3 linked regions of the Ovis aries genome follow. The protein of the gene in region 2 purifies or fractionates together with the protein of the main gene of each other region. This does not show direct contact. Links are inferred from orthologs where the notes say so. Each region holds a gene or a part of one and is shown on either strand. Other genes may lie near its edges.

Region 1 (8,287 bases), on a different chromosome or scaffold from region 2:
TAAAAAGACCTATATTCTGTCTTCCTAAACTTGGTGAAAATCCTTAATTATAGCCCTTAACTTTGTTCTACACATGAGTTTTAATTTAATTGCTATAGATTTGGCTTATGACATAGAAACATTACAAAGTAATTTTATTTTTTGAGAAAATCGTAAAGGGTGGCTCGTATATTAACAGAAAATAAGGCAAAACAGTAGAAAGAGAAAAATTCAAGAGTGATCAGTGTCAGAATGTTAAAGTTTTTGAGAGATTTTAAAATAAAAATTTTGTTTTGAGGTCTCGGCGTATCAGTTGAAGAAGCTAACTGTTGGCTGTGTTATGTTTTGTCTCCTGGCCTTTCAGCCTCTTTTATACATTTGAGTCACTGACTTTAACGTATCAGAAGCTTCCCGTAATGGCCAGTGTTGCTCTAAGTTAGCACTTCCTTTGCCATTTACTAAGGAAAGTGCGAGAGTTAGAATTACTGAGAATTTTCCTATGAGAAGCTGAAGTTCCTCCAGAAGGAGGTTGATCCTTTAGTGTAGCATGACACGTAGAGGCCGCTTTGCCTGGTTAGTAGTGTACGTTTGTGGATGGTGTCTGAGGTCACCTGACCAAGCGGAGGCTAGGAGGGGTCATATGGTCGGAGACCTGACAGTCACTGACTGCAGAATACAAAATAATAAAATGACCTTTTTTCACAAATGGCAAGATAGGGATTGCCCTCACGAAGAGTGCAATTTCTATATAACATTCAGTTCAGTTGCTCAGTCTTGTCCGACTCTTTGCAACCCCGTGGACTGCAGCTGCCAGGCTTCTCTGTCCATCACCAACTCCCGGAGCTTGCTCAAACTCACGTCCATCGAGTCGGTGATGCCATCCAACCATCTCATCCTCTGTTGTCCCCTTCTCCTGCCTTCAATGTTTCCCAGCATCAGGGTCTTTTCCAGTGAGTCACTTCTTCCCATCAGGTGGCCAAAGTATTGGAGTTTTCAACTTCAGCATCAGTCCTTCCAGTGAATATTCAGGATTGACTGATTTGATCACCTTGCAGTCCAAGTCAAGAGTCTTCTCTAACACCACAGTTCAAAAGCATCAGTTCTTCAGTGCGCTGAAGAATCCACCTACAATGTGGGAGCCGCGGGAGACATGGGTTTGATCCCTAGGTTGAGAAGGTCCCCTGCAGAAGGGAATGGCAACCCACTCCACTATTCTTGCCTGAAGAATCCTATGAATAGAGGAGTCTATATAACATAAAATGTATTTAGTGAATGTACACTTTTGTCCCCACTGTATATTCAGGGTGTTTTAAATACGTTCTGATTTTGTTCTCAAACTTATATATATATATATATATATACATATATACATGTATATATGTATATATATATATATGTAAAGTAAGTAAAGTCACTCAGTCGTGTCCGACTCTTTGTGACTCCGGGGACTGCAGCCCACCAGGCTCCTCAGTCCATGGGATTCTCCAGGCAAGAATACTGGAGTGGGTTGCCATTTCTTTCTCCAGGGGATCTTCCCAACCCAGGTCTCCCGCACTGGAGGCAGACGCTTTAAACTCTGAGCCACCAGGGAAGCCCTATGTGTGTATATATATATACATACATACATACATACATACATATATATATATACACACACATACATATATATATAATGTGTATATATAAACACATATATGTATATATGTAGTATATAATTATATATATTTATATATGTTGTGTATAATTTCTTGAATATTATAAAATCACTTTCAAGTTTGTTCCATCTTAACAGGATCAAAACCACATGTGTTCTTAGATGGTTTTCATCCTGAGACAGTGAACGATTCAGTAACAAATATAGCTTAAGCATAATGTGTGTTAAAGTGGAACTAGAATAAGATTGATATGCCAGCTTTCTTTTGAATCTGTTTTTCGTTTTTAACCCTGTGTATTCCTTTAGAAATGAGTTGCACCATTGAGAAGGCACTTGCTGACGCTAAAGCCCTTGTTGAAAGGTTGAGAGACCACGACGATGCAGCAGAATCTTTGATTGAGCAAACCACTGCTCTCAATAAGCGAGTAGAGGCTATGAAGCAGGTTTGATTTTTTTTTCCCCCTGTTGATTCTATTTTTAAAAGACCGTCACTGACATTTATGTGTTGCTTTTATTACAAACTTCTGCTTAACTAGTATTTTATTTTTAATGTTTTCTGAAGTTTAAAAGTAGTTGACTTATATGTCTTAGTTTACTTTAGATTGAAATATAATTTTGTCAAGGTCAACTGACATGTATGTATGTATATATATATCTTCTAAAACCATAGATTTGATCACTTAATTTCCTACAGTGATGCAGATTTGAGTTTGGAAAGTACATTAATTTTTTTAGGTCTAAATACATTTGACAAAGGCAAGATAATATCTTTTACTAATAGTGACACATTCTTTGTTCTGTCTCCTATTTTTATAATGTAGAAATATTTTAATGAGAATATTTTGGTGGTGCTGTTTAATAATAAAATAGTTTTTGAAGATGATGCAAAGCAATATCTTCTTTTCACCTTTTGCAGTTACTGCATTTGTGTGTGTGTGTGCGTGCTCAGTCGTGTCCAACTCTTTGTGACACCATAGACTATAACCCACCAGGCTCCTCTGTCTGTGGGATTTTCTAGGCAAGAATACTGGAGTGGGTTGCCATTTCCTACTCCAGGGGATCTTCCCAACCCAGGAATTGAACTTGCATTTCCTGCATTGGCAGGTGGATTCTTCACCACTGAGCCACCTGAGAAGCCCTATTTGTTTATACTTGCTACCTTAAGGAATGAACAGGGCTTCACTTCTTCTTATCCTTACCATTGTGTATAAGAGCTTTCCAGTGGGCTGTGAAGTTGAACTACTATTTTAAGCCCTCTTCTGATTTTAACTTTAAGTTAAGATTTTAACTTTAAGAGAACTATAGCATCTCTGAAACTATGATGGAAATCACTGTAGGAAAATTATATTTATAGCTTAGTCTCATGAAGCACATCTCTTTTGTAAAAGGAGACAGCAACCTGGGGGTACTGATTTTAACAAAGTTGCTGAAAAAGTGAAGCAAGTTTACCTACTGGATTAGCCGAAAAGTTCATGTGGACTTTTCCATGACATCTTATGGGAAAGCCTAAACTTTTTGGCCAGCCCCATATTTTGTTTTGCAGTTCTGCTGCCCTGAACACGTTACATACCTCCCTGTCTAGCTTGACTCATGCATTCCAGTGAACATACATGTCTTGTACTGAGTTGTAAAAAAGGCGGGGGGGTTGACAACCAGAGTTAAGAACCATACCATAAAATTTACCCTGTTTAAAAATTTTTTTGGCTGCACCACATGGCATGCTGGATCTTAGTTCCCCAACCACAAAACGAACCCACATCTGCTGGAAGCATGGAGTTTTAACCACTGGGCCACCAAGGAAGTCCCCTACAGTTCACCCTTTTGAAGGGTGCAGTTGATTGAATTTTAGTATATTCACATGCTCTGCAACCATAATCACTGTTAATTTTAGAACACTTCATTACCCATAAAGCTGCTCCCTCAGTCTCCCTTTCCCTGGTTCCTGGCAACCATGAATCTGTCAGTCTATAGGTTTGCCTGTTTTAAACGTATCGTATGAACGGAATAAATAGTACCATATGTGACTGACTGTGACTGGTTTTTTAAGTTTTCAGTTTCATCTATGTTCTATTATGTATCAGTACTTCATTCCTTTTTATTGCTAAATGTTAATAATATTCATTGTAAGGATATAGCACCTTGTGTTTTTCTATTCATTGGTTGATGAACATTTGGATTGTTTTTCTTCTGGGGCAGTTATGTATAATACTGCTGTGAATACTTGTATATACATTTCTATGTGGACATCTGTTTTCAGTTTTCTTGGGTATATACCTAGCTGTAGAATAGAAGGGTCTTATACCTCTGTGTTTAACTTTTTGGGGATCTGCCTATCTGTTTTCCAAAACAGCTATGTCATTTTACATTCCCATCAACAATATATAGGTGATAGCAATTTCTGCACATCCTCTGTTAAACTCATTATTATTACTTGTTTTAATACTTGAAGGTCATCCTAGTGGCTGTCATGTGCTATCCCCTTGTTACATTGAGCTGTGTTTCCTTAATGACTAATGATGTTAAGTATCTTTCATGTGTTTATTGACCATTTGTGTATCATCTTTAGAGAAATGTCTCTTCAAATCCTTTGCCCATTTTTTTCAGCTTTATTGAGATATACTTGATGTACAACATGGTGTAAGTTTAAGATATACAATACACATGTATATATTGTGGAATCATTACCTACTAATCATGAGGTTAGTTAATACTTCTGTCACCTCACATAATTATGTAATTACTGTATGTGGTGAGAATATTTAAGATGTATTCTCTTGTCAAATTCCAAATATATAATATAGTATTGTTAACTTTAAACACCATGATGTCCATTGCATCTTCAGAACTTAGTCATTTGCCCATTTTTTAATCGGGTTCTTTTTCTTTTTATTGTTGAGCTGTGAAATATGAAATATACACACATATATACACATATATAAGATACGTATTTTCAAATATATTCTCTTATGTCTTGAAAAAAATCTTTTCATTAGTATCAAGAAGAAATTCAAGAACTTAATGAAGTTGCAAGACATCGGCCACGGTCCACATTAGTTATGGGAATCCAGCAAGAAAACAGACAGATCAGAGAACTGCAACAAGAGAACAAAGGCAAGCTATATTATCACTGATTATAGCATCTCAAAAGTGAGCTTTAATCGCCAATTGCACTATTGAATTTGGATCAGTTAATATTTTTTAAATGGGAAAATAGCCAGTTAAAGTTCCTTTCGCTAGTCCATTATGCTTCAATTACATATATTTCTCTTTATCCTATCCTGCATATGAATGCTTGTCTACCTTACTTGGAATCATCTTAGGCTCTCACCTTCAATATCCATTTGTACCACTTAAATTATTACATGTGAAATAACTCAGTTTCATTCTCTGCAGCCCCTTGCTTAGGTGTTTATAGTCTCCGGCCTGAAGTATTCTCATTGGTCTCCTTGATTTCAGTCTCTTTCCGCTCCAGTCCATCTTCAGCACAGTCATCAGACTGATTTTACAAAAACATATCTGGTCATGTTGTTCTTTTGCTTAAGAACCATCACTGTACTGTTTCCTTATCCAGAGGCCTTCAAAGTTGACTCTAAGCCTTCTTTTTCGTATTCTTCCCATCCCTCCGTTCTCCATGAGACCTTTGCTCTTGCCACCCTGAACAGGTTCCTGAACATACCATCCACTTTCATGCCTCCCTGCTTAGACTGCCCTGTTCTTTATTTTTCAACTGAAGGAATGTACATTCATCTCACTACTATACTTCTGTGAAGCCGCCACCAATTTTTCCTCACAGACTTTTTATATGTTTATATGTTTTAGGGTAGAGTTCCACTCTGCACTTACCACACTGTGTTATAATTATTTATGTTTTGTTTTCTCCACTAAACTCTGAACTTTATGGCCTTTTGGTATTCCTAATATAGAGCATGATCTGACCCTCAGTTGTTGTTCAGTAGTTGTTAAAATGATTCTCAAAAAAATGAGCTTAAAATGGTTATTTTGAAAACTAATAAAGGACTCCATTTGGTGTCCTTTATTTCCATATGGCTAGATTTTTGTACCTCATATTTTCTTTATGAAATACCCCCTTTATAAGTTGCTTTTTAAAAAATATGATGTGGAAGAGAATACATTGTGCATTTTAAACTCAAGTTTAAATAAAATATACTGTTACTCTTGATAGAATTACGTACATCCCTGGAAGAACATCAATCTGCCTTGGAACTTATAATGAGCAAGTATCGAGAGCAAATGTTTAGATTGCTAATGGCTAGCAAAAAAGATGATCCAGGAATAATAATGAAGTTAAAAGAGCAACACACTAAGGTAATCCCATTCTGTAAATATAATTTGAAAAAAGAACAATCAATTAACTTGTGTTCAGATTTTTAAAAAATCACAGGTGTCTTACATGATATTGAATATTTCTCTTTTTGACATTTTCTTCTTTTCCTTATTTTTTTCATGTTATGTGTCATTTTCTGTTTGATTTAGTCTTTAAACTTCCATTCTTCCCTAGTAGCTTAAAATATGTATTAAAAAGTAAACATTATTTGGGAAATAAAGGTAAGTCTATTCAATTCAAATTATTCAAAATTATAATGTTACCTGCTTCAAAGAAATATTTCTTCTAACTTGTATATTGGTATATGTTGCAAAAGTGAAAATTAAATGCCCCAAAATCTTTTTAAAAACCCCAAAACAGCTAAAGTTAGATTTGTTTTTAAGACTGTCTTCTGAATGAGGCTAATTCATCCAGACTATAGATACTCCTGATTATTAATGGAAGCACGAAGGGGTGGGGGGAGGAAAAGAAACAATATACTATATATATTGCCTTCCCACCCATCCCATCCTCCATCACATACCACTCAACAACATTTTTAGAGACAGAGCTGAACTGGCTAGAAATCAACGTTGTTTCTGCTGTTCATCTTACTAGTTGTGATCCCTGTGTTTGCTAGCAGCTGCTGTGAAAAGATAGCATAGTCCTTTACCATTTACATTTTATTTTAAACTGATTTTTAGAATAGATTGTGATTACAAGGCCATTATCTCTATTGGATAATGATGAGCTATTTTTTATTAGTTATAATGAGTGTTATTTAAGAAGTATTGACTGTTATAATGTATTTTTATCTTTCTTAATTATTAAAACACTTTTTAGATTCTTTAAAATATTTATTCCATCTTGGTGCTTTTAGGTATTTTTTATTATTAATTCTACTAAAAATAAATATCTAGTAAATTGCTTTAACATGTAAATTCAACTTTCCATATTAAGGAAGCTATTAGTAATAGCTCTTGTGTCAAACAGTATAATAATAAGTTAACAAATGTAGTTTTAATATTATCTAATTATGCTATTTATCTCCTAACCAAAAGGAACCTTGGATAGTCAAGTGGCAATCTTTTGAGTATAAAATGTATCTATTGTTAATATCATTATAAAAACATTTTATTTTGAATATGTAATTTAAGAGGTTTTTTTAAGGTACAAATATGAACTGACTTAAAATTATTGGTAAAATAAGTATGTTCTTGAGACATTCCAAAAGGCCCTTGTGTTTAACAACCTAACAAATTTTTTAAGATCTACAGTGAATACTCTGGCAAGCAAGTGCTTAAGAATAAGATACTGAAGGTAACTAGTCCCTTGTGGTAGCAGCTATGTCAGAAGCAAATGTTTTCTAAAACACATTAGATTTTACCATTCATTACAGCTGTTTTATTAATTAGCAAGTTAAACATATCTTAAGATAGCTGTAAGCCATTCTTTTTCATTATGCAGATGAAATTCTTCTTCTAAGTGCTGATTCTTGCCTTCCATGAAATAACAGTTTGGTTACTTGTTATTAATTCTAACTAATACATATTAATGTTTGTGATTTTGATTTTTCCCAAAAAGGAGATGCTTTGATTCAAACAAATATTTATTAACACTTGCACTGGCTTAGTTATCATAATGAGATGAATGACTAAGTTTTATTATTCTACCATAGGACCTTTCAATGCATTGGGAGATACAGATACAAACATGATTATCTAACATAAGGTAGGATGTGATGAATCCTAAATAGAGACCTGGATTATTACTGGAGTACTAGAGGAAGCAAGTTTAGTTCTCAAGAGGAGAATCTGGGAAAGTGGCAAGGAAAGCTAGCAAATCCATCTAAATCTAGCCTCGAATTAATTTGGGGGCTTAACAAGCAGAAATGGGTGAGCAGAGAAACTTGCACGAGAAGTATGAGCTTCCAGAATATGTTTAAGAACTAGTGCTCTGATACACCTAAACGCAAAAATAATTTTATAACACATTTCTGGGTAAAACACAGAGTTACACTTAACAGCATTTTAGAGTAAGAGGCTCTGTTGAGACTACTGTAACAGAATTCTGCCCTCACCTAGAAGTTTTTGAGCACACATTTAAAAGCCAATAAAAAGTTTGAGGAGAACTCATTTTCATTCAAACACTCATTTTTACATTATTTTTGAACTACTACCTTTTTGGAAATCTTAAAAAAACAAACATTTCCAACAGTTGGCTAACTCGCATGAACTAACACTCATTCAGTTTTGAAATTACGGATATTGTCCGTATTAACATTATAATGACTCTGTACTACAGATTGACATGGTGCATCGTAACAGCTC
Region 2 (8,287 bases):
TAATGGTTTGTCAATTTTATTTATCCTTTCAAAGAACTACCTTTTCGCTTTGTTGATTTTTGCTATGGTCTCTTTTGTTTCTTTTGCATTTATTTCTGCCCTGATTTTTAAGATTTCTTTCCTTCTACTAACCCTGGGGTTCTCCATTTCTTCCTTTTCTAGTTGCTTTAGGTGTAGAGTTAGGTTATTTATTTGACTTTTTTCTTGTTTCTTGAGGTATGCCTGTATTGCTATGAACTTTCCCCTTAGCGCTGCTTTTACAGTGTCCCACAGGTTTTGGGTTGTTGTGTTTTCATTTTCATTTGTTTCTATGCATATTTTGATTTCTTTTTTTATTTATTCTGTGATTTGTTGGTTATTCAGAAGCTTGTTGTTCAGCCTCCATATGTTGGAACTTTTAATAGTTTTTCTCCTGTAATTGAGATCTAATCTTACTGCATTATGGTCAGAAAAGATGCTTGGAATGATTTCAATTTTTTGAATTTATCAAGGCTAGATTCATAAATCTAGCCATACCCAGGATGTGATCTATCCTGGAGAAGGTTCTGTGAGCACTTGAGAAAAAGGTGAAATTCATAGTTTGGGGGTGAAATGCCTTATAGATATCAATTAGGTCTAACTGGTCTGTTGTATCATTTAAAGTTTGTGTTTCTTTGTTAATTTTCTGTTTAGTTGATCTGTCCATAGGTGTGAGTGGGGTATTTAAAGTCTCCCACTATTATTGTGTTATTGTTAATTTCCCCTTTCATACTTGTTAGCATTTGTGTTACATATTGCGGTGCTCCTATGTTGGGTGCATATATATTTATAATTGTTATATCTTCTTGGATTGATCCTTTGATCATTATGTAGTGTCCTTCTTTGTCTCTTTTCACAGCCTTTGTTTTAAAGTCTATTTTATCTGATATGAGTATTGCTACTCCTGCTTTCTTTTGGTCTCTATTTGTATGGAATATCTTTTTCCAGCCCTTCACTTTCAGTCTGTATGTGTCCCTTGTTTTGAGGTGGGTCTCTTGTAGACAACATATATAGGGGTCTTGTTTTTGTATCCATTCAGCCAGTCTTTGTCTTTTGGTTGGGGCATTCAACCCATTTACGTTTAAGGTAATTATTGATAAGTATGATCCCGTTGCCATTTACTTTATTGTTTTGGGTTTGAGTTTATACACCCTTTTGTGTTTCCTGTCTAGAGAATATCCTTTAGCATTTATTGGAGAGCTGGTTTGGTGGTACTGAATTCTCTCAGCTTTTGCTTGTCTGTAAAGCTTTTGATTTCTCCTTCACATTTGCATGAGATCCTTGCTGGGTACAGTAATCTGGGCTGTAGGTTATTTTCTTTCATCACTTTAAGTATGTCTTGCCATTCCCTCCTGGCCTGAAGAGTTTCTGCTGAAAGATCAGCTGTTATCCCTATGAGAATCCCCTTGTGTGTTATTTGTTTTTCCCTTGCTGCTTTTAATATTTGTTCTTTCTGTTTGATCTTTGTTAATTTGATTAATATGTGTCTTGGGGTGTTTCGCCTTGGATTTATCCTGTTTGGTACTCTCTGGGTTTCTTGGACTTGGGTGATTATTTCCTTCCCCATTTTAGGGAAGGTTTCAACTATTATCTCCTCAAGTATTTTCTCATGGTCTTTCTTAAAAATATGGAACACTTCACGAATTTGCGTGTCATCCTTGCACAGGGGCCATGCTAATCTTCTCTGTATCGTTCCAATTTTAGTATATGTGCTGCCGAAGGAAGCACTAGGTTTTGTTCTTTTAAACTCATTCTTGTGAATTACAATTAAAGAAGCAAAAACAGATGACCTGTTTCCTGTTACAGAGGAAGTTGCAGCGAGAGCACCCCTAACAGCTCTACTTACAGTACAGCTCAACAAATAGGCTAAAATGATCTGTGTGTGTGTGTGTGTGTGTGTGTGTGTGTGCATGCGCGCGCGCGCGTATGTGCCTGTGCGCACTCAGTTGCGTCCTATTCTTTGCAACTCCATGGACGCTAGCCTGCCAGGCTCCTCTAACCATGGGATTTTCCAGGCAAGGATACTGGAATGGGTTGCCATTTCCTTCTCCAGAGGATCTTCCTGACCCAGGGATTGAACCCGTGTTTCCTGCAGCTTCTGCCTTGTCAGGTGGATTCTTTACCACTGCACCATCTGGGTTAAAATGATGTGGGCTAAATATATTATACTAAGTAGATTTATCAGGTTTGAAAGCAAGATACACTGTAGGATGTGAAACAAGAATGTTTTCAGAATGTGCTAATAATTGATTATTTGTCAAAGGAATTGTGCTGAGGTTATTAGAATTTCTTTTGTGATTTATAATATTAGGAGGCCTTACATCGGGAACAGATGTTGGAACAGAAGTTAGCCACGCTTCAGAGGCTGCTAGCCATTACCCAAGAGGCTTCAGATACCAGTTGGCAGGTATTCCAGTTGCCTTTATACTCATAAAGCGTTTAAGCACAGCTCAGTATCCCTTAGATGGTTATTAAACTGAAACTAAAATTATGTAGCAGACAAAGGCATAGTTATTTCTTAATGAACAAATATTGAAAATTTAGCATTTTAAAGTGAATGTTGGTCAACTTTGTGATTTTTAGGTCTTTTTTTTGGCAGTAGCAAGCTTTTTGATATATGTTATTTTATAACTACTCTGGGATTTTATTTATATTTCATTTTTCTTTAACAGGCTTTAATAGATGAAGATAGACTCTTATCACGGTTAGAGGTTATGGGAAACCAATTGCAAGCGTGCTCCAAAGTAAGTATCCATCTCAAGTACCTAAAGAAAAATGCATTGGTTTTTATGTAGCTTCATTTGTTTGATTGTTATTTTGAATACATTCAAAAACATCTATACATTTTCACCATTTTAAAAATCTTTTACCATTACATGAAATTTCACACATACATGTAAGTAGAAAAAACTGTATATAGTGAATACCCATATAGAATTCTCTTTTTTCCATCATAGTTGATATTTGTTGGAAAAACTGGGTCTTTCACCCTGTACAATTTCCCTCAGTCTGGAATGATACTTAAACCTTCTTGCTCCTCCTCTACACCATAAATTTATACAGTCCATGGAATTCTCCAGGCCAGAATACCAGAGTGGTAGTGAGATACTAGTGATCTTTGATTATCCTTTCCTATATTCATTCTTTGTAATTCTATCTTTCCTTCATTTACTAGAGGCATTACTTCTATAAAGAGAAACTTCTCTCATAAGCCATTTTATTTTCCTAAAGAACATTTTCTTTAGGAAGAAAAGGATGAGTGATTTTTCTCTCTTTATTTACTGGATTTCAAAATGATGTTTTGGCTCCTTTTCATCTACCAAAGAATGACCAATTAAGTATTTTTTTCCTGCATATAAGATTTAAATACATAGCATGGGTTAAACCTGTTTTGTTTTTCTTGTTGATTCCCAGTTCTCCCATCTTTGGGAGGCCTTATTCAGGGAACTTCTTCAGGTTGGCACCTGAGTTCTTCTGGTAGTACCCTATCAGACTTGGATAATAGCTTCCTGCTATCATATCAGACAAGGTAGTCCAGACTCATCTTGTACATCTCTTCCCTTAGACTTGGGATCAGCTTTTTCCTCAGGGTACTCTTATTCCTTTTGGCTTAGTTATTGTGTTAAAATGCTTGACACCCTTTAGAAGTTAAGAGATTATTTTTGCCCATAAGTGTAAATATTGTGGCTTTCAGAGAATATGGCAAGTATTAATAGAATAGTTCATTCATTTTGTATACTTGGAGAAATTTTCAGTGAGCTTTGACTTTTTTCTCTTGAAAGTATGAGCTAATATGCTTGTGAGAGCATAATTTACTAATGCAACTTTTATATACAGCTTCAGTTAATACAGAGTTGACATAATTTCTGTTTGGAGGTACCTTAATATAGAACTCAGAGAACATCACAATGTGTTATTTTTTTCAAATGGTAAATGCTTTAAAAAAATAACTATAAATATTTTTAATCCTAGAATCAAACAGAAGATAGTTTACGGAAGGAACTTATAGCGTTACAGGAGGATAAACACAACTATGAGACTACAGCCAAAGAGTCCCTGAGGCGGGTTCTTCAGGAGAAAATTGATGTGGTTAGAAAACTGTCGGAAGTTGAGGTATTTCAACTTAACAGACACTAACCAAGACTATGATTTTACAGTTTTAGCCTAAAAGTGCTAGCATTTCAAGACATTTCAAACTTGGGTATTAGTATGTAGCTAGGAAGTTTTTCCTGTCTTATCTGGTGGGAAGGAACAGTATGCTATTTTCATTTTAGGAGTTCTTAGCATAGCCACATGAGCTCTGATACTTATGGTCCCTAGTCAATGATTAAGGAAATAAAAGCCTAACCAGGGAATTTTACTATTTCCACTTTGGTTAGATTTCAACCTCCACACAATGGACCATGATATGTGCCAGGGAATTGACCTCCTTTCATATAATTTTGTTTTTCTTCCGATTGAGGATAGTCAGTCTTAAGGCAGAGAGCTCCACCACTATTCTTACCTTCCCCCTCCTCCAGAGAGGAGAATTGTGCCTGGAGAGGGTTACTGTTTGCTTCTCCAGGGGATCTTCCCAACCCCAGGATCAAACCTGGGTCTCCCGCATCACAGGCAGATACTTTACCGTCTGAGCCACCAAGGAAGCCCAGTCTCAAAGTGACTGATTCATGGTCAGATCATTAGTATGATGTGCAAAGAAAGAAGAATGCTAATTGTCCTCTAATTTTGTTGATTGTGTGTGCACATTATTAAATGTGCTTTTAAGAAGTGATAGGCTTAAAATATTTTCAAGACCAAAACTCATACCCTGTGACCTTTAAAAAGTATGATTATATGAAGGATCAGCCTCTCCTTCCACGTTTCGTTTTTCCAAGTCCTTTGTATTTTCTGTTTTAGCATCTACCGGAGGTAGATTGAAATTCTTCTGTTACTTAGTTCAACCTTATATAAAGTCAAGAGTAGATTCTGATTTAGAACAGTCCATAGAATTATAGTTTGTATAAATTGAATTTAGAATGTGCATTTATTCTAAATTAATTATCTGTAAACTTGAATTACAGCGAAGTCTTAGTAATACTGAAGATGAATGTACCCATCTGAAAGAAATGAATGAACGGACTCAGGAAGAATTAAGAGAATTAGCCAATAAATATAATGGTGCAGTTAATGAGATTAAAGATTTATCTGATAAATTAAAGGTATGTATTTCTCAAACTGGAAATATAGAAATTAATCATCCCTAACATGCTGGATAGCTTAAGAATTTAGATATTGCTGAATAGTTGTTGATGAATTTATAGTATAAATCAGTTGCCGTTTAACCCAAATCCCATTACCAGTGATAATTAAAAGTTTGTAAAAGTTGACATATTTCCTTTGGATGAAAGTAAATAATGAGTTTAAAAATATATTAAATAGATAAGAATCACCAAAACCCAAGATACTCAGACTTTTGGAAAACTAGGGCCTGCTTTTCTTTAAGGTGTCCCAAATTCAGTTAGTGCTGGAGCAAACCTAGAGAGAACTTTCGCGTGATTCCTTCCAGGAGGCCATAGCCTATGCGTGGACTGCAGCTCCCTGTAGCTATAGGATATTTAGGATAAGGACAGACCAGATCACACGTAACGCCGTCTTGGTCATGTAAAATGTTAGAACTGAGTTTGTGAAGACCCGTCTTTATGTAATTCACACCATAGATTGAGTGGCCAGAAGATACCCATTTGTTAATAGAAGACCAGAACATACCTCCCATTCGTGTGAATGGTTAACCTATATAGCTTTAACTATTAGACTTGTTAAAAAGAAGTCATTTAAAAAAGTGCTTGATTCCTTTAGCTAAAAGTAATTTTGTTTAAAATTTCAGAATAAGCTACACTGTAGAACTTAAAAGCTAATTGAAACAATAGTAATTTCAGGGAAAACTATATTTCTATCTTGAAAAATGAGGTTTTCATTTTGACCCTTATAATCTATGTATGTATTGTGTTTGTTTGCTTGCTACAAGTTTTTCTCTCTCAGTTGATACAGAGGGATGACACAGTGCATATCACTTTTGACATCATTTACATGAATAAAAGGAGTCCTGTTTTAGACATCTTAAAACAAGGTCAGATTTTATTAAATAGCTGGATTTTTTTTTTTCATTTTCAACAGATAGCAGAGGGAAAACAAGAAGAAATCCAACAGAAGGGACAAGCTGAGAAAAAAGAATTACAACATAAGATAGATGAAATGGAAGAAAAAGAACAGGAGCTCCAAGCAAAAATAGAAGCTTTGCAAGCTGATAATGACTTTACCAATGAAAGGCTAACAGCTTTACAAGGTAAGTTAGCTAATCCAGAAATTGATCTGATTTAATTTTTTCTTTCTTTTTATCTGTGAAATATCTTTTTCTTGGACTTTTATTTACAGTACGGTTAGAACATCTTCAAGAGAAAACTCTTAAAGAATGCAGCAGCTTAGGTAGGTGTCACCAGATTTCTTACTTAAAGCTGAATTTTTATCATTAAATTTTTGTTTACTATCTCACATTGTGTACTTGCTTTCTTTAAGAGGGATGTTTTACATATTAGGTGTAAAGTATCTACCCTCTTTCAGAAAATTTCCTTTAAAAATATGCTTGATTGCCACCAGTGGGCACCATTGTGTAGTCTTTGAAATGAATGAAATTTATACATCTGAGATGGTCTGCTTAGAGATATTTAAATAAGAAAAACACATGAACAGCAGAATCCTTTTTCTTTTGAGGTTTATCGAAAGGTTACTAAGCAGTTCTAGGCTTTTCGCTAAGATGATAGAAAATGGCAAGTTGAACCCTTCTTGTAAAAATAAATTTAAACTGTTCAGTCAGTCTTAATGTCAGTAGGAATACAAAATGCCATGGTTACACTTGAGACCAGTTTTAAAGTAATACTTTTTTTGATCAGGCAATGATACACTGTCTTAATCCTAGGGATACAAGTTGATGACTTCTTACCTAAAATAAATGGGAGCACAGAAAAAGGTAGTGTAAAAAACTTAAATATTTTTCTTTTATGATATCCTTTTACTATTTAAGCAGGATAGAGAAGTCAGGGATTTTAGATTTTAAGTGTTTGGCGTGAAAAGCATGCTGTTCATAGACTGTTAAATCCCATCTTTTAAAAGTCAAGCTTCCTTTTATTTTCTATTTCTTAATTCTGTGAGCTATGATTAGATGTCCCTTGTTATATGGAAATTTCAGTTATTGAAATAGTAAGATTTTAATAATGTTCAACTTTAGTGTTGGTTTATATAACCTAGTATAGCTTCCCCTGCCCTCTACTATATTTTCAAAGACGATACCACCATTTTCTTTCATCAAGTACTGCTTTCTGGGGATAATTGGCCCCTGTTTTTTAATATTTGTGCCCTGCCCCCTTCCTGGCCAAGAGTTTACTTAAAAGTCCAAAAAAGAAACAAAAATAGAAAGAAAAAAAAATGTCCAGTGAGTGTTTGGATGTGTCATCGAAACTGCTCTCTTTATCTGTCTGTTTTATCAATCAGAGAAAAGGGAGTCAGTCATGTATGCCATCTGAAAAATTATCTTTTTGTTCTTGATATCTGATCCTTCTTTCTGGATAGCTTGGGTTATCTCTTGCCACAAATGTATAACCACTGTTGGTTTTCCTACTGCAACATGAGTTTTCTACTCAATGGTTTCTGTATTCCTGCAGTCATGAAGATTTGTCCTCCCTCCCCATTCATCCAACATTAACTGAGCACCAGCTATATGCCAGATTCTGCATTAGATCCTTAGAGTACAAAATGCATAAAATTATTTTCTGTGTTTACAAATATATGTGCCTCTCAACTCAGTGTTTATATATAGAAGATGCCAAGGTCAGTACCCGAAACTTCATACTAAATAGTTTTTCCATGTATCAGGGGATAACTTTATAATTCTTGGGCGGCATCTAAACTCTGATAAAGTTAGGAAGTGCTTTTTTGGTTTGTTTTGGTTTGGTTGGTTTGTTTTTAATCAGGAAGTGGAATAATAGGCTCAGGTAACCATGTATATGTGAGGTACAAGATCAAGAGCTAATATTCCATGTATAATAAGTCTTGAAATTCAAAAAAGTTTCATCAGTCATTATTATGTGACTATTTTATATATGCTTTGTGAAATAACATTGACACTATAAAATTTCAGTTTGAGTTTCAATTTGAGACTTTTTAAAGGTGTAGTTTATGTTCATGCACCATTATTATTAAAGTATATTTAGTAAACATATGTAAAAAGACTTTATCT
Region 3 (8,287 bases), on a different chromosome or scaffold from region 2:
TTTTGTATCCATTTTAGGAGGGATAACTTGCCATGGAAATTTTGTTGATAACATGTATTTTTTTTAAGACTGAAATTTAACCATGTGTGTCATTAGCATGGATAGCTATGGCTATTTGTATCACTGACACATATAGATAAATTTTGATATATATTGTTACTGCTATTAATTGTTTGACAAATTGGTAGATAAAATTGAGCCAAAATAAAAGTACAGCATATTGTGCAGTTATTATTTTACTTTCTCATACTTAAGGTGAATATCCTCTTCTCTCATTATTTTAACAATACTTTTCAGTAAACCTGTATCAAATACTTAACTGTCTTAGCACTGTACAAAATGCTGTGTGAGAAAGAGCTCTTGCCAGATGACAAATGTCTAGATATTTTTGTATGTACCAGCAGACCTAGGTTTGACTTGCCAACAGTTTGCTTTGTGACCTTGGTAAGTTGCTTAGCTTCTGTGACTCTAGTTTCTGCCTGTGAAGATGAGGGTAACAGTTGTGAATTGAAAATGGTATACATAGTGCCTAGCACAGAATCTAGCATCACAGCACATAAAGCATTGTGAAATAAGATTAGTGTTTTCCCTCTATGAAGTTGAATAGGAAAAATGATATGATTAATGTTTTTGTTTGACTACATTTGAGCTTATGCAAATACTTTATAAAATTAGTTCTTAGGATACTTTTCAATTAATGAATAACTAGTGAAAACTGGATTTAATAGTCCAGAAATCTCTGCATTTATCTCTTTATCCTTATCTATATTTGAATATTCATAGGTGAGGGTTTGTAAAGGTTGGTTTTGATGATGGCCTCAAAATAGCTTTTCCAGGGTTTCCAGTCTGGAGCAGACTGAACATACAGAATAGGAATTTCCTTCCTGCAGTATGTTTGTATAAACATAATTACACAGATTTGGGTGACAGAAGTTCTACTGTCCTATGCAAGTTTTTTGTAAGATGTATTACATTTCTTCTGATGCCTCTTGCCCTTTTCAGCATGTGTTCCCCAAATTTGCCCCACTAAATACATGCAAGTTGCTAAAATTCCTTCCTACTCTCTCCATCCTATATGTCTCTTATCGCAGAATTCATAAACTCCAAACTCTGCATGTGCTTAGTTGCTCCGTTGTGTCCATCTCTTTGTGACCCCATAGACTGTAGCGTGACAGGCTCCTCTGTCCATGGGGATTCTCCAGACAAGAATACTGGAGTCTGTTGCCATGCACTTCTCCAGGGGATCTTCCCAACCCAGGGATGCACTACAATTGTTTTACCCCTCAGGTTTTCCTCAGTTTTTTAATTTGTTTAATTGTCTGAAGTATTGTGTGTGTGTGTGTGTGTGTGTGTGTGTGTGTGTGCACGCGCATGTGCGCTGGTATTTTCTCTTCAGGACAGAAACCCTCAGATTGTTAACTACCTTCTCTGGCGCAAACCTTAGTGCTGTAAATGAAGATGCTGTTCTGTGTACATACAGGTCATCCAATATTTGACATAAATTGCTGCAGATTATCTTAGAGAAGGCCAGGCCTAGGGACAGACTATCTTGGTCTTTATAAAGCTCTGTGGCAAACAGTGGATCAAAGCTCAACTGTAGGTTCTGAGTTCCCAAACAGTAGTTTCCAAACCTGGTTCATCAGCAGAATCATGTGGGAAGCTTTTTTTCTCTTTTGAAGTACAGATTCCCAATAGTCCATAAAGTACACTACAAAATATGGTTGTCTATAAAGAGCTGTTTGATTACTGTAATTTGCTTTATTGTATTCCTTTTGAATAAGCTTACTTCAGACCCACAGGGGTTTGAAGAATCTTCCATATCCAGAGATTGGACATTTTAAAATTTGTTGAAATTGTCATTTTTCTCACATAATAGGATGGTTGAACGACACTGTCATTAAGCAGTAGGGGGCTTAATATCTGTCACAGCAATACAGGGATACAGCTTTCTTGAAAACATAAAGGAACAGTTAATGTAACTAAAAATTGTTATTACTAGAGGTCAAAAAAAAAGAGTGGACAGGTATAATTTCTATGTAAACTTACTGTCCTTTTTGAATATCTAATGTTTTAATGTTTCAGCCTGTTACCGATGTGTGACTTACAAGAGGAAATAAGGAAATATTTATTGAAATATTGAATTAGAAGGTCATTACTTCTGCAGAATAAGCTAAAATGCTTTTTTACACCAAAAGCTTTTATATTTGTAATTTTTAGAATTTCCATATGCTTATTTACTAAAAATAAACTGTGAAACAGAAAAATCTGGACATGGAGCTTTTGGGTTTTCTTTAAATAGTTTAGCTGAAATGTTTTAAGTATGAAATAACTAAAATCTGACATTTGTGATTAAAAGGTAGGTAATAAAAGGTTTGTGTTTTGGGTAGAATAGATTGATGTTTTACTAATTCATGTCTTTACACTTGCATTGCATTTGAACAGCAAAATTTGTAGCAGTTAACAGCTAAGAGAATGGATATGAAAAAGAGAAGATTTGTCTTAGAGACTGAGAGGCTGTTTGAGAATGCAGAATTACAATAAGTTCAGTTTGCTAGAATATTGCTATGAAGTTAGAACACAGAAATTGAAAAGGGCATAGATAGAAAAGATGAGAATTTTTAAAAATGATACAGGGACAGGAAGAAAAGTCAACTCAAATGAGAATGATTGATTTCTTCTCTCTTTAGAAAGGGGAGAAAAATGCTGATGCATATGTAGTGAAAGGATGATTGTTGGAAAGGTTAAGGTAAAAGAATATTCTGATATTGTCTCTCCCAGAAATATAAATATATTTCCTAAGGAAAATAGTGACAGCAAAGATTTGAAAGAGGAGACTATGTGGTTGTTAGAGAGGAGGCTAGATAAATGTGTCTTAAGGGAGAATAGCTACATCTGAGGAGGAAATATTTTGAACATCGAAACTATCAGGTCTATAATTTGAAGTGTTTTAAATGCAGGAGTGAATTACATGTAATAGCAAAATTTCATATAATTGTTCATGAGATAGCAAAAGTGAATAATACAGTCGCTCAAATTTACCTACATGAAAAAGGAGAAGTCAAAACAGGAAAAGATGAGAGTCAGAGGTCTCTTATAAATTTGAGTAGGTAATGCTGAATGAAATGAAAATGTTTGGGGAAAGTTGATGTTAATTGTGTAGTGTTTCCTCAGCAGTGCAAGAGTAGCTGGGATCACAGGAGGATACAGGCTAAATCCCCCACTTAACCAGCCAGTCAAATATTTGGCTTGATACAGTGTTCATATGGTAATTAAGTATAGTGATTCTTAAACATAGCTGTGTATAGAGACTTCTTTCAATGAAACTGACTTTAAGAAGATTCTTTTTTTTTCCTCACCCAACAGGGATATAGCTAGTGCAATAAAAGAACTTCTTGATACAGTAAACAATGTCTTCAAGAAATATCAATACCAGAACCGCAGGGTAAGTTTAGTAGAAACCTTACAAGCTGCCACCTTAGATGTTGGTTTATATCTAGTTGTTTCATTAAATAATAAGACTGTTGAATTATTGAAAAATGGCTTTGTATCGTTAATGACTGGATGTGTCCTTGAATTTGAATGTGCTGTTAAATGTGTATTTAAGTGAATACTCCTAAAACTGATTATCTATAATATAAGGTATATTCTTAATTCTGTGTAATCTTCTGTCTCTGACTTTGGCCTTTGTGTTACTTTGCTTTTCTTACTTGTTTTTTATTTTTTTATTATTATTTTTGATGTCTGTAGGCACTCGAACACCAAAAGAAAGAATTCGTAAAGTACTCTAAAAGTTTCAGTGATACTCTGAAAACCTATTTTAAGGATGGCAAGTAAGTATTATCATTTATCCCCCTTTTAAAATTATAAAATTATGTGGCTTTCTATAATACTGAAATCATATATATTTAACTCTTTTACTATATTGTTAAAGCCAACTACTAAGATAGACTGTTACAAATGCCTTTCAAAGGGGGTGTTTGATAATCCAGCCATGACTGCAGTTTGGAGCTGCAGTTGCAGACTTTCTCTGAAAAGGGCCAGATGGCGGATATTTTAACTTGGTGAGCTTGTGGCAGCTCGAGCACTTCACCTCTGCTGCTGTAGTGCAGAAGCAGCTGTCGACAGTATGGAAACAAGTGAGCATTTTTGTGGCTGTGGCTGTGTTCTAATAAAAACTTACTTTATAGACACTGAATTGAATAATTTTCAACTGTCTCATAATATTATTGTGATTTTTTAAAAATTTTTACTGTTTAAAAATGTAGAAGTATCCCTAGCTTTCAGGCCGTACAGTAGTGAGATTTGGCTTACTGGGCTACTTTACCAACCCCTGAAGCAGTGATTCTCAAACTTTACTAGCCTCAGAGTCATCTGGAGGCTTGTTATAGACAAAATATTTTTGGGTCCTACCCAGAGTTTCTGATTCTGTCAGTCTGGGGTGGGCCCAGGAAGTAACATTTCTAAGAAATTTCTAGATGATATGGATGCTACAGGTCTGTTAAGAACTGTTATACTATAGTTAAAACGGTGGTTCTCAATCCATTTTGCACATTAAAATCATTTATATTCAATGTTTTAAAATCCCAGTGCCTTGACCCCACCTTCAGAGCTTCTGATTCCATTGGCTTGAGTGGGGCCAGGGTTCAGGTGTTTTTTAAAAGTACTTCATGTGTTTTTAAAGGGCCACAAAAAGTGTCCTAGAAGAGAGGCTTTCTGTAAGACAGAAAGTATACTAAAAAGGTAAATTAGATATTTTAAAATTTACATACACTTAGCTACAGAACGTTCTAGAAAACCAAGAAATACTGTGTGATTTATGTATAATACACATGTACATACAATGTATAAGCTGATCCGAAGGCTTTGTCTTCTGCAGCCTCATACTTTATAGAGAATTCTTTGTACCTCAAATAGAATTTTGTGGACAGGACCATTTTCTATCAGTGCTTGAAGCAGAAGAATAAATATGATTATTTCAGCTATCGTTGGCAGGGAGCTTTAACATCCTGTCCCACCACTGACATTTTAAGATCCCAATATCCATGTCAGACTATTACAGTATTATTGTAGTAATATTAAAAAGTAATAAAATATATTAGAATGGTATAATGATTTTAAAAGTCATTTTTAATAGTTCAAACAGATTGAAATATTTCCATTTTATTATAAATTAAAGATATTGAGCTAAATATTATTAATGATTTTGTGTTGTTTAATACTGCTACTCAGATTGTGTAAAGGAAAATGAACCTTGTTGATTTAATTTAATAAGCTGGCAGGTGTGTTCTGAAAATAAACTTATACCTGTTTTTCCTTGATCTCCTCTGCTAAGTCCAAATAACCAAAAAGCACATTAAAAGAATAATTTGCATTAAGGAGATTATTTATGATACTGATTAATTAAGAACAACATGGGATAAGGACATTAAAAGGTAGTAATTCATTTAGAGCATAACTTTGATTAATGTAAAATTATTTACTCTCATCCCTGTTTGTACAGTAGAATCCCTTGGGTTCAGTTTTTAAAAATCTTTGTCCTTGGTCCCAAAGTTATTTTTAACAGCTTAAACAGGCATATGGATTATTCAGGCTCCCTGCTACTACTTTTTCTCCATTCAGCAGCTTCTTTAATTTACCATTATTTGCATATGAATAACATACCACGTTTTCTCCCTGTGTCCTCAAAGTTGAAAATTATTAATAGAGCCTGATCTTTAAGCCATTTTTCAATAGGAGGATGAATTTGCATTGATTCATTTAATTTTTCCTAGGCCCCCTTTGTTGAGGAATGCCTAAGATAAAGATATTGTCAGCCGTTCATATCCACAGATTCCAAATCCCTTTGTTATTGTTTAGTCGCTCAGTGTCCAACTATTTTGCCCCCCATGGACTGTAGCCCTCCAGACTCCTCTGTCCATGGGATTTCCCAAGCCAGAATGCTGGAGTGGGTAGCCTTCTCCCCAGAAGAAGGGGATCTTCCCAACCCAGACATCAAGCCAGCGTCTCCTGCATTGCAGGTGGGTTCTTTACCACTGAGCCACCTGGGAAACTCCAAATGCCTGGATTCAACCAGTTGAAAATTTTTGGAGAAAAAAATTCCAGAAAGTTTCATGGGATTTATATTGTACTTCAGCTATTTACATTGCATTTGCACTATATTAGGAATAAGTAATCTAGAGATAATTTAAAGTATACTGGAGGATGTGCCTAGGTTATGTGCAAACATTACACCATTTTATATAAGGGACTTGAGCATCCACAGATTCTGGTTTCTGAGGGAACTCCTGGAACCAGTCCTGTGATACTGAGGGGTGATTGTACAAGCTTTAGCTATGCTCCTGAGAAACTGATAAGGCCACACAGGGGGACTAGCATCAGCTCTGTGCTCCAGATCACATGAGGATGGGCTGATAGAAAATGTGGTTCAGAATGAAGTAATTTTTAAGAACATATCTTTACACATTGTCAACTCTTAAATATTGAAACCACATGATTATTTTGTTTTAAAAGTACATTAATTCTAAAAGTAATTCAGTTAATTTTTTCTTGAAGGAAGGTAAGGATAGGGATGAATCAGATTCAAAGTAATGAACCTTTTCCCAAGCATCATCCCATTGATATACAAATTTTGAGACTGAATATGGTATTTTAGCAGGTCTTATTTTGATAACTTCTGTGAAACCACAGCTGGAGACTGCATTCTAATCCTCCTCTTTGGCCAGTTACATGTTCGACCTATAAAATGAATTCTGGTTGTTGAGGCACCACCCATCATTAGCAGCCCACCAACACCTTATTGCCAGCCAGGACCACTAGGGGGCAGTAACTCCTAGATAGTTTCCAATGATGCAGGACACTTCCAAGCTGGCATAAAAGTTGCTACTCAGTACTAATTTGCCTTTGTTGTTATGTTCCTAAATAGATTTTATTGCTGCTGCTAGTTGGGCATTTTAAGTATAAATATTTTTAAAGGATTAATTTTTTGGATAAAATTAATACTCTTTTCTCTTTTTTTTTGAAACAGGGCAATAAATGTGTTCATAAGTGCCAACCGACTAATTCATCAAACCAACTTGATACTTCAGACCTTCAAAACTGTGGCCTGAGAGTTGTATATGTTAAGAGATGTACTTCTCAGTGGCAGTATTGGACTGCCTTTATCTGTAAATTTTAAAGTTTGACTGTATAAATTATCAGTCCCTCCTGAAGGGATCTAATAATCCAGGATGTTGAATGGGATTATTGCCATCTTACACCATATTTTTGTAAAATGTAGCTTAATCATAATCTCACACTGAAGATTTTGCATCACTTTTGCTATTATCATTCTTTTAAGAATTATAAGCCAAAAGAATTTACGCCTTAATGTGTCATTATATAACATTCCTTAAAAGAATTGTAAATATTGGTGTTTGTTTCTGACATTTTAACTTGAAAGCGATATGCTGCAAGATAATGTATTTAACAATATTTGGTGGCAAATATTCAATAAATAGTTTACATCTGTTAAACATTTCTTTACTTGAAAAAATGCATATATATATGTGAATATATATATGATCAGAAGACCAAGACGACTTGGTGTAATGTCTAAAGAACTTCTAAGGGGAGCTTATTAGCAGTTTATCAGATAATAAAGCAACAAGAATTCCTATTTTTTTGTCCTTAATCACTCTGGGCAAAAAGTAGTTGATGGAGATATTTTTGTTAGTTACTATATTTGAGGTACTGAGTATTTTTCCAACCTTTGTTTTAAGAGACTTATGAGAAGCAGATGGCAGTTTGTAGTGTCTTCACATTCTACTGCCATTTTTGAGCTCTGTGACAATGTAAGATTAAGTCTTTCTGGTATGCTGGGCCCTAATAAGCTTTGCGCCTTTTTTCCATAAATAGCCACAACTAATAGTAATTTGAAGCTATACCAATGCTAGTTGGTTTGAAATTGTCATGAGTGTTAATAATATTATATACACTCTTTAAATATGTACAGTTTTGTTTCACCATAGAGAAATTCTAAGGAAATTATGTATCAAGTATTCATGTTAAAGTGATTTCATTTTTCAATTATGATAAAATAAAGGAAAAAATCAGAATTTGTTTATCTTTTATAAAGATTTAAATGTTAAACTAATTTCTGTTGATGATATAAATTTTTTGCTATAATGCAATTTAGTTATGCTTTAAAATTTTCCCATTTTAGAAAATAGATTTTTAAAGAATTACTGTCATTAGCAATACAAAAGGAAATCATCCACTTAGCTGTAAACAGGAAATGTGGAGGAAAGCA

The links. Proteins that work in one complex are often made in the same cells at the same time.
Region 1: the proteins of SLMAP (region 2) and FGFR1OP2 purify together in Homo sapiens (affinity purification with mass spectrometry; 3 studies listed by BioGRID and IntAct, with this or other methods). This does not show direct contact. The link is inferred for Ovis aries from reciprocal best matches to the Homo sapiens genes SLMAP and FGFR1OP2.
Region 3: the proteins of SLMAP (region 2) and PDCD10 purify together in Homo sapiens (affinity purification with mass spectrometry; 3 studies listed by BioGRID and IntAct, counting the BioPlex papers as one, with this or other methods). This does not show direct contact. The link is inferred for Ovis aries from reciprocal best matches to the Homo sapiens genes SLMAP and PDCD10.

What each region holds. Positions count from the first base shown.
Region 1 is NC_056056.1:188,452,190-188,460,476, reverse strand, and holds part of FGFR1OP2 (FGFR1 oncogene partner 2), read left to right. Parts: intron 1-1,939; 5' UTR 1,940-1,941; coding exon 1,942-2,076; intron 2,077-4,626; coding exon 4,627-4,744; intron 4,745-5,816; coding exon 5,817-5,959; intron 5,960-8,261; coding exon 8,262-8,287. UniProt on the Homo sapiens protein: May be involved in wound healing pathway.
Region 2 is NC_056072.1:43,483,130-43,491,416, reverse strand, and holds part of SLMAP (sarcolemmal membrane-associated protein), read left to right. Parts: intron 1-1,639; exon of another isoform or gene 1,640-1,746; intron 1,747-2,329; coding exon 2,330-2,425; intron 2,426-2,690; coding exon 2,691-2,762; intron 2,763-3,990; coding exon 3,991-4,131; intron 4,132-5,078; coding exon 5,079-5,216; intron 5,217-6,171; coding exon 6,172-6,340; intron 6,341-6,429; coding exon 6,430-6,480; intron 6,481-6,970; coding exon 6,971-7,021; intron 7,022-8,287. UniProt on the Homo sapiens protein: Associates with the striatin-interacting phosphatase and kinase (STRIPAK) core complex, forming the extended (SIKE1:SLMAP)STRIPAK complex.
Region 3 is NC_056054.1:220,418,041-220,426,327, forward strand, and holds the end of PDCD10 (programmed cell death protein 10), read left to right. Parts: intron 1-3,363; coding exon 3,364-3,442; intron 3,443-3,747; coding exon 3,748-3,830; intron 3,831-5,896; coding exon of another isoform or gene 5,897-6,077; exon of another isoform or gene 6,078-6,976; intron 6,977-7,024; coding exon 7,025-7,106; 3' UTR 7,107-7,506; downstream 7,507-8,287. UniProt on the Homo sapiens protein: Promotes cell proliferation. Modulates apoptotic pathways. Increases mitogen-activated protein kinase activity and STK26 activity. Important for cell migration, and for normal structure and assembly of the Golgi complex.